Linked DNA regions of Oryzias latipes. The protein of the gene in region 1 purifies or fractionates together with the protein of each later gene. This does not show direct contact. Links are inferred from orthologs where the notes say so. Each region holds a gene or a part of one and is shown on either strand. Other genes may lie near its edges. The genes, in order: rpl7l1 and rexo4.

The links.
Region 2: the proteins of rpl7l1 (region 1) and rexo4 purify together in Homo sapiens (affinity purification with mass spectrometry; 3 studies listed by BioGRID and IntAct, with this or other methods). This does not show direct contact. The link is inferred for Oryzias latipes from reciprocal best matches to the Homo sapiens genes RPL7L1 and REXO4.

The regions. Positions count from the first base shown.
Region 1 is NC_019882.2:435,868-440,282, forward strand, and holds the start of rpl7l1 (60S ribosomal protein L7-like 1), read right to left. Parts: upstream 3,068-4,415; 5' UTR 2,947-3,067; coding exon 2,933-2,946; intron 2,653-2,932; coding exon 2,544-2,652; intron 2,477-2,543; coding exon 2,313-2,476; intron 1-2,312.
Region 2 is NC_019877.2:8,249,159-8,253,482, forward strand, and holds the start of rexo4 (RNA exonuclease 4), read left to right. Parts: upstream 1-1,481; 5' UTR 1,482-1,753; coding exon 1,754-1,969; intron 1,970-2,082; coding exon 2,083-2,402; intron 2,403-2,474; coding exon 2,475-2,621; intron 2,622-3,660; coding exon 3,661-3,854; intron 3,855-3,956; coding exon 3,957-4,045; intron 4,046-4,127; coding exon 4,128-4,202; intron 4,203-4,314; coding exon 4,315-4,324. Other genes in the region: pigp (phosphatidylinositol N-acetylglucosaminyltransferase subunit P), read right to left, coding at 868-949.

The DNA.
Region 1 (4,415 bases):
TTCCTCTGTGCATAACCTGACGTTCCTCTGCGTTTAACCTGACGTTCCTCTGTGCATAACCTGACGTTCCTCTGCGTTTAACCTGACCTTCCACTGTGGATAACCTGACGTTCCTCTGTGGATAACCTGACGTTCCTCTGTGGATAACCTGACCTTCCACTGTGGATAACCTGACGTTCCTCTGTGCATAACCTGACGTTCCTCTGTGCATAACCTGACGTTCCTCTGTGCATAACCTGACGTTCCTCTGTGCATAACCTGACGTTCCTCTGTGCATAACCTGACGTTCCTCTGTGCATAACCTGACGTTCCTCTGTGCATAACCTGACGTTCCTCTGTGCATAACCTGACGTTCCTCTGTGCATAACGTCCTGTGCATAACCTGACGTTCCTCTGTGCATAACCTGACGTTCCTCTGTGCATAACCTGACGTTCCTCTGCGTTTAACCTGACGTTCCTCTGTGCATAACCTGACGTTCCTCTGCGTTTAACCTGACCTTCCACTGTGGATAACCTGACGTTCCTCTGTGGATAACCTGACGTTCCTCTGTGCATAACCTGACGTTCCTCTGTGCATAACCTGACGTTCCTCTGCGTTTAACCTGACGTTCCTCTGTGCATAACCTGACGTTCCTCTGCGTTTAACCTGACCTTCCACTGTGGATAACCTGACGTTCCTCTGTGGATAACCTGACGTTCCTCTGTGGATAACCTGACGTTCCTCTGTGGATAACCTGACCTTCCACTGTGGATAACCTGACCTTCCACTGTGGATAACCTGACGTTCCTCTGTGGATAACCTAACCTTCCTCTGTGCATAACCTGACGTTCCTCTGTGCATAACCTGACGTTCCTCTGTGGATAACCTGACGTTCCTCTGTGGATAACCTGACGTTCCTCTGTGCATAACCTGACGTTCCTCTGTGCATAACCTGACGTTCCTCTGCGTTTAACCTGACGTTCCTCTGTGCATAACCTGACGTTCCTCTGCGTTTAACCTGACCTTCCACTGTGGATAACCTAACCTTCCTCTGTGGATAACCTGACGTTCCTCTGTGGATAACCTGACGTTCCTCTGTGGATAACCTGACGATCCTCTGTGGATAACCTGACGATCCTCTGTGCATAACCTGACGTTCCTCTGCGTTTAACCTGACGTTCCTCTGTGCATAACCTGACGTTCCTCTGTGCATAACCTGACGTTCCTCTGCGTTTAACCTGACGTTCCTCTGTGCATAACCTGACGTTCCTCTGTGCATAACCTGACGTTCCTCTGTGGATAACCTGACGTTCCTCTGTGGATAACCTGACGTTCCTCTGTGGATAACCTGACGTTCCTCTGTGCATAACCTGACGTTCCTCTGTGCATAACCTGACGTTCCTCTGTGCATAACCTGACGTTCCTCTGCGTTTAACCTGACGTTCCTCTGTGCATAACCTGACATTCCTCTGTGCATAACCTGACGTTCCTCTGTGCATAACCTGACGTTCTTCTGTGCATAACCTGACGTTCCTCTGTGCATAACCTGACGTTCCTCTGCGTTTAACCTGACGTTCCTCTGTGCATAACCTGACGTTCTTCTGTGCATAACCTGACGTTCCTCTGTGCATAACCTGACGTTCCTCTGTGCATAACCTGACGTTCCTCTGTGCATAACCTGACGTTCTTCTGTGCATAACCTGACGTTCCTCTGTGCATAACCTGACGTTCCTCTGTGCATAACCTGACGTTCCTCTGTGCATAACCTGACGTTCTTCTGTGCATAACCTGACGTTCCTCTGTGCATAACCTGACCTTCCACTGTGGATAACCTGACGTTCCTCTGTGGATAACCTGACGTTCCTCTGTGGATAACCTGACATTCCTCTGTGCATAACCTGACCTTCCACTGTGGATAACCTGACGTTCCTCTGTGGATAACCTGACGTTCCTCTGTGGATAACCTGACATTCCTCTGTGCATAACCTGACCTTCCACTGTGGATAACCTGACGTTCCTCTGTGGATAACCTGACGTTCCTCTGTGGATAACCTGACCTTCCACTGTGGATAACCTGACCTTCCACTGTGGATAACCTGACCTTCCACTGTGGATAACCTGACGATCCTCTGTGGATAACCTGACGTTCCTCTGTGCATAACCTGACGTTCCTCTGTGCATAACCTGACGTTCCTCTGTGCATAACCTGACGTTCTTCTGTGCATAACCTGACGTTCCTCTGTGCATAACCTGACGTTCCTCTGTGCATAACCTGACGTTCCTCTGCGTTTAACCTGACGTTCCACTGTGGAGGAGGTGCAGGTCCACTCACTCTCTGATGCGGACGGCAAAGGCCAACTTGTTCCCCGCCGGGGGCAGAGCAGGCGCCGGCCGGTGTTTGGATCTCCGGATCCGGGTCTCGTCTCGGTGCTTGATGTGTCCATCCTTCAGGAAATCCTCCAGACGCTTGAAGTTTAGTGGCTTCCCTCTAGCGACCTGAAGAGAAATGTTACAGGACGGGCCCCTTGTTTGTAGTCCAGGCCAACAGGACTACATTACCCACCTTCCTCTTCTCCAGCAGTGCGAGCTTGGCCTGGGTGGCTTTGATGGCCTGATAGGCTTTCCTCTTCTTCAGGAGGAACTCTGGGACCAGCTTGATGACCTTCTGGGACCTGCAGCAGCAGGACAGCAGACGTTTGTGTTTCCGCTCAAACAGCTGATCGACCTTCAGCATAAAAATGTCACAGATGCGTGTTTTTGGCACCGAAACAGCTGTCCCCGTGCGGGGTTTTGGAAACCCTTATAAAATTCATTTGAGCTCCGTAATGGAGGATCGTGAACGGACCCCCCCCCCCCCCTCAATGAAAGCCGGCTGGCTGATACCGCGGTCACACGGACCATTAGACGGACACAGACCGAGGATGGACGAGGATGAAAGACCAAAACACTCACTCCGGTTCAGCCATGATTCCGCTCGTCTCCTTCCGGCTCACTCTTCTTCTTGTGCTTTTATTGGCGGGAGGCACCAGCGTAAAGGTGCATTACCGCCACCTACTGCGTTGGAGTGTGGGTCAGAGTGGGGACTACCTACCAACCATACCGGAAAAAAACAAAACAAAAACACCCTTAGATTCTCCTCAATAACCAGAGGCCTGTTGCACAAAATTAGAATTAAGACATCCGGGATAAATGACTGAGCTGAGCTCAATGAAGCCAAAAGATGTGCTTCCAGGCTTAATTGGTTGCACAAAGACCAAGCCAGGATGAGCAGACACGGATTCATTTAGCCAGGTGTAACCAATCCTGGGGGGTATTCCAGAAGGCAGGTTCTGCTAGCTCCCACGATAAGTTTGAGGCTAAGGAAGTGGATAACCTCAGCTTTCAGTTCCAGAAATGGAGGTATGTTTCAGGGTAGATCAAGTTACCATGGCAACTCATGCTCTGAACATAACCTGGTCTGGAGCAGGTTTAGTTGAAGGTTAGTTTGTTTTCAGAGAGGTGAAGCAGCATGGCGTGTCCATTTGAAGATGATTTAGTGGATGAAGAAGCTCAGATAATACTTTTTCCACCATGAGAGGGTGATAAGACCACAAATGGATGTTGGAAAGAGAAACTTTTACTTTGATCTAACTTAATTATTTGCTTCAGTTAAGATAAACCATTTTTTGTTAGGTCACCTTAAAAATAACACATAGTTTTTTAGACAATTATTTTCCTTTCGTTCAAATTAATTCAATTAAGTAGGTGTAACTTTGGTGCTGCTGTTAGATCGGCACCGCAAGGGATTCTGGGATATCATTCCCTTTGCCTGTCTGGACGGATTTGGGTTTTTTCATTTTCATTTTTCATTCATTTATTTATTCATGAAAATTGATGTTCAAATATTTACATGTTTCTCTTACATATTGAACATTTTCATGATTAGAAGGGAGCAGAATTGAAGAACACAATTCTTATAATTATCTGCTCCCTTTTAAACATCATATTTACATTTCTCTCACCATCACCTGTGCTCAGATTTCACAATGTACAGTTTAAACACTACACAGTAAATACATTCCATTCATTTAATTCATACATTCCAAACATTCCATTCAACAGTCAAGTTTGTACAAACTAATTTGTTTAGCTTTATACATCCGTTTAACTTGAATAATATTTTGACCACGTTTTAACTGATTCTCCTGGGAATTCCACATTTTTACCTCTGCTATAGACAAACACTTTTGCTTTAATGTTGTTCCAGCAATCTGTTGTTTGAAATCAAATTTTCTCCTATGATTTTCATCTCCTGTGGTAAAAATAAAAAGCTTTTATGAGTCTTCTGGTAAATCTCTGTTTCTGGCTTTAAATATAACTAATAAGGTCTGCAATTCAATTATGTTTTTAAGTTGTTATAAACCTGACTTAATGAAAAGTTCATTTGTGTGATCTC
Region 2 (4,324 bases), on another chromosome or scaffold:
ATGTATAAACATATGTCCTTTCATTTCAATTTATTTTTAAATCTGATGCTTTTTCATACAGAAAGACCATCCAACCAATAAAAAAGACAACCTTTGAGGAAAGTGTAAATATTCATTTATAAGCAACAGAGTTATGTGATATTCCAAATTGAAATCTTTTTAGAATTATTGGGATTATTAGAAGAATTTTCTTTTAAATGAGAAAAAGACAATCCAATTTAAAAGTTAAACAAGACTTCTTCATTTGGCTTAATACAATTTTGCCGACTTATTAAATTGTGTAGTTTTAAGCCTAAATATGAACATAACAGGCCTATTAAAAAAATCCTACTTTTTACCCAAAACAACAACAACACACAACTAGCGTTTTAAAGTAATTTACAATATTTAAGTCACTACCATCCTGCCATCTTTCAGCTGAATTTTTAAAAATATATATAAACACAATAACCTTTTACTAATGTATACCTTGAGATATAAATAACTTAAAAAAAACTAATTATTGAAAGAATTCTATTGAGAAAAAAATCCAAAAAGGCTTGTTTTTTTTAAGTGAAGTCACATTGAATTAATGGCAGTCTGTTTTTCAGGTGGTCAACTATTTATCACCCTAGTAGTAAGGAGATTTAAATCTCCACCGAGAAACGGTTATTCTATTTTAACTCAAGTGAGTCGTCCTGCACATTTACAAATTTCAATGAGATTAGATTTATGGCAACATAAACAAAAGGAACAGAATGTCTTTGCTATATTACCAAGAGCCGTAGAGATAAGTAATTCCACAACATTTTACGTTGAATGACATCTTCTGCAAATAGAACTATGCTTCTAATTTGAAAGAACATGATGTGATGGGACTTAACTTACAGAAGCCAAACTGGGAGCCAAGGAAGAGAACAAACCCATAGATTGCTCTCTCTGGCATAGGTGATGGGGAGTTTTCAACCATGATCTGAAACCAGAACACAAACAGACCATCTATTGGGTAAAATAATCGAAAATAAACAATGACAAAAAGTCACTAAACTTACCGACAGATAATAAGTGTATTTTGGTTCGTAAGAAGAGCAGCAAGTTTACAAAAACCCCTAAAAACAGTTTAAATGTTTCTCAAATAGCTTGTTTATATCGTACCATCAGCTAGGTTCAACGATAGATAAAATCCAATTCTACTATTTCAAACGAAACATAAATAAAAATGTAAAAAGTGCATCTAATCATATTACGCCAAAACCTAGCTGACTGCTGTCAACAAAACGTTAGTCCATCACCTAAATGAGTTCGGTCAGAAACTGTACATCAGGAACAAAAGACTTTAAAGAAATAAAGCAAAATTACATATCAATCTTGTGTTCTTTGTTAGTAATGTATAGATATTAAAAACTATTTTCAAGCTTGAAAAAAGAAAGAAATAAAAAAATCAACGAAGGGAGAACTTTCTGCCGCTCGAACGAATCATGTTACTTTTTTCCTGACGAACATATTTGACTGTTACTCATTCCAGAAGCACCGCAGCATGGCTTCGTGAATGTGAAGGTAAACAACTTGAAACATAATTTTTCCCTGTTTGGGAGGATAATAAAGTGGCTATTTTTGCTAATAGAAACAGTGTGTGCCCTTTATCTGGGATACATATGTATGTGACACAGCGTTAACTGTTTTCGTTTACATCTCACCTAAAATTGGCTTCTTTCAAAAACGTGGCTGTGTAACACAGCAAATACTCCCTGAAGTTTAAAGAAGTGCGACCACGATGTCTAAAATCAAAGGAAAGGAAACTCCTGCTGGAAAAACGCAACAGCTGACGTCCAAAGAAAAAAGGAAGAAGTTTTTTATAAAGCATAATCGTAAAAAACAAACTTCCCAAAAGACTCTAAACAAGAAAAATCTAGAAAATCCTGGAGCAAAGCAAACTGCACCACCACAGGATCCCCAACAGTTTTCTTCCAACTGGAAAGCATTACAAGAGGTTTGTCTGACGAATATTAAACTCTATGCTCTTCATAAGCTGTGCAACTACTTATGTGAAAATGTATTTACTTTTAAAATGTAATTATCTTCTTTGTTTCCTGAACATGGCAGATCTTAAAGAGCAGTCAGCCAGAGAAGAAGCAGCCTGTTACACCAAAACATCGGAATGGTGTCTTCCCTAAGAAGTTTAAAGGAAATGAGCCTAAAAAGTTTCAAAATAAGAGCCCTGCTCCCAGCCAGGTGCACACAGACAGAGAGGGAAAAGTCAAAAGTGGCGATGCCCCAAAGGAGGATGGGGTGAAGGCAAAGATCCACGCCGCCTTAGACAAACTGCAACCTGGTGGTGCAAGGAAAAGGCAAAACGAAAAGACAGACAATGAGAAACCAGCCAAGAAAAAGAAGCCCGTCACTGAAGAGAGGAAACCCACAGAGTATGTATCCTTATTGCTAATACTTGACTTCAGTTCGGGTTTGCCTTGTAATCTTTGCTTGTGCTGCTGTAGGGAGGACCTTTGGTTTGATGACGTCGACCCTGACGATATTGAGGAAACGATGGGAGCCGAGGCTGCAGAGATCATGAGGAGGAAACAAGGCATGAAAACAAGCAAGAACGTAGATAGCGTTCTGGTAAAAGAGAACGCCTTTGATGGGTAAGAGAAACTGTTTTGTGTTCTTACGGTCAAAATGCCACACCTTCATTTGCTATCGATCAACTCTAGTTGAAATTCACCTTTCTTTATAGAGCTCTTTTCCTGTTAAAAAACACCTCAAAGTCTTTTACATAAATAAATAATAATTATATTAGTATTTATAATAAACACATGTTGTGTACAAAAACTAGCAGGAAAAAATAATCCATAAAATCAAATTAAAACATGAGGAAATGTAAAATCGACATAAAAGCTAAACTAAAAAGGTGAGTTTAGGCCAAAGTTCTGCCATGTGGCCTCGCTGTGGGTTTTTGTTTATGACCTCAGGGAGCACCAGCATAACTGGATCTGAGGGCTCTGGGAGGGTCGTCTGCTAACACCAGCTTGATTAAAATTAAAGTGCAATTTCATTAAACTAAGAAAAGTACCTTAAAATCGATCCTAAAGCTGACAGAGAACCAGATATTTCAAATTTGGAGTCCTTCTTTTTGTCCTGATATTTTTTGATAATTTTTGCTCAACAATCATTATTATAGTATATTGTTTTAATCTCATCTGCTGCTCTTCTTCATCATTGTTTTCTTGGTCGGATGTGTAAAAGTGTTGAAAAAGTCCATTCCTAGCAACTCTTTAATCTAGTGGGATACTTCCCGTGTGTGTTGCTCTCTTTGGGCATAAGTATGAGTCTTAAAATCGTCGGATTGTTTCGCAATTGCTTCCTGATGAATATGCAGCCATAGCTGTTGCAGAGTTTATGCTCATCTCAACCTGCAGCAGACTGGCTCCAACAGACTCCCTAAGTGGAAGTAGTTGGAAAAACAGCCGTTGCCTTTTTAAACAAGTTTTTGAAAAAATCGGTATAGTTGTCAGTTATACCCCAATAACATCAGATGTTCTCTTACTTCTCTCAAAAGAGAAAATGATTTAATAATGTTTCAGGTGATTTCTGTGGAGAAACTTTAAAACGGGCAGCAGAAAGACTGGACTGTTTCATTAGATGACCTTTTGTTTTCTCCACGTTTGTACGTATGAATATCAGCATCACCAAAGCTGTAGCTATTGATTGTGAGATGGTGGGAGTCGGTCCAGATGGGGAGGACAGCATCCTGGCACGTGTGTCCATCGTGAACCAGTTTGGAAAATGCATCTATGACAAATATGTCAAACCCACAGAGAAGGTGACAGACTACAGAACAGCTGTCAGTGGGATCCGACCGGAACACATTAAAAATGGTAAGAAAACGAGACATCACTGTATACTTAGATGTTTATTGCTTTCAAACAATCCTCTGTGCTTTTGAACAGTGTCAAAATGTGATTTTTTTTTTTTTACAGGGGAGGATGTGCATGTTGTGCAAAAGGAGGTGGCTGAAATTCTGCAAGGAAGAATTGTGGTTGGTCATGCAATTCACAATGACTTAAAGGTATTGTGTTGCCTTAAAATAAATGTGTGCTCCAATAAAACAGCTGTAGCTCTCCTCTTACAGAGTCTGTCAACTGTTTCAGATTCTTCTCTTGGATCATCCAAAGAAGCACATTCGGGACACTCAGAAGTATAAACCCTTTCGGAAGACTGTAGGGGTAATTATAGAAAGTTCTTTTGTTTTTACTGAGACTTACTGGTAGATCGTCTGTGGAAGGTTCCAGACCTCATCTTAATAAGAACAAGTTTATAAATGATTTTATATTTTAGAGCGGCCGAC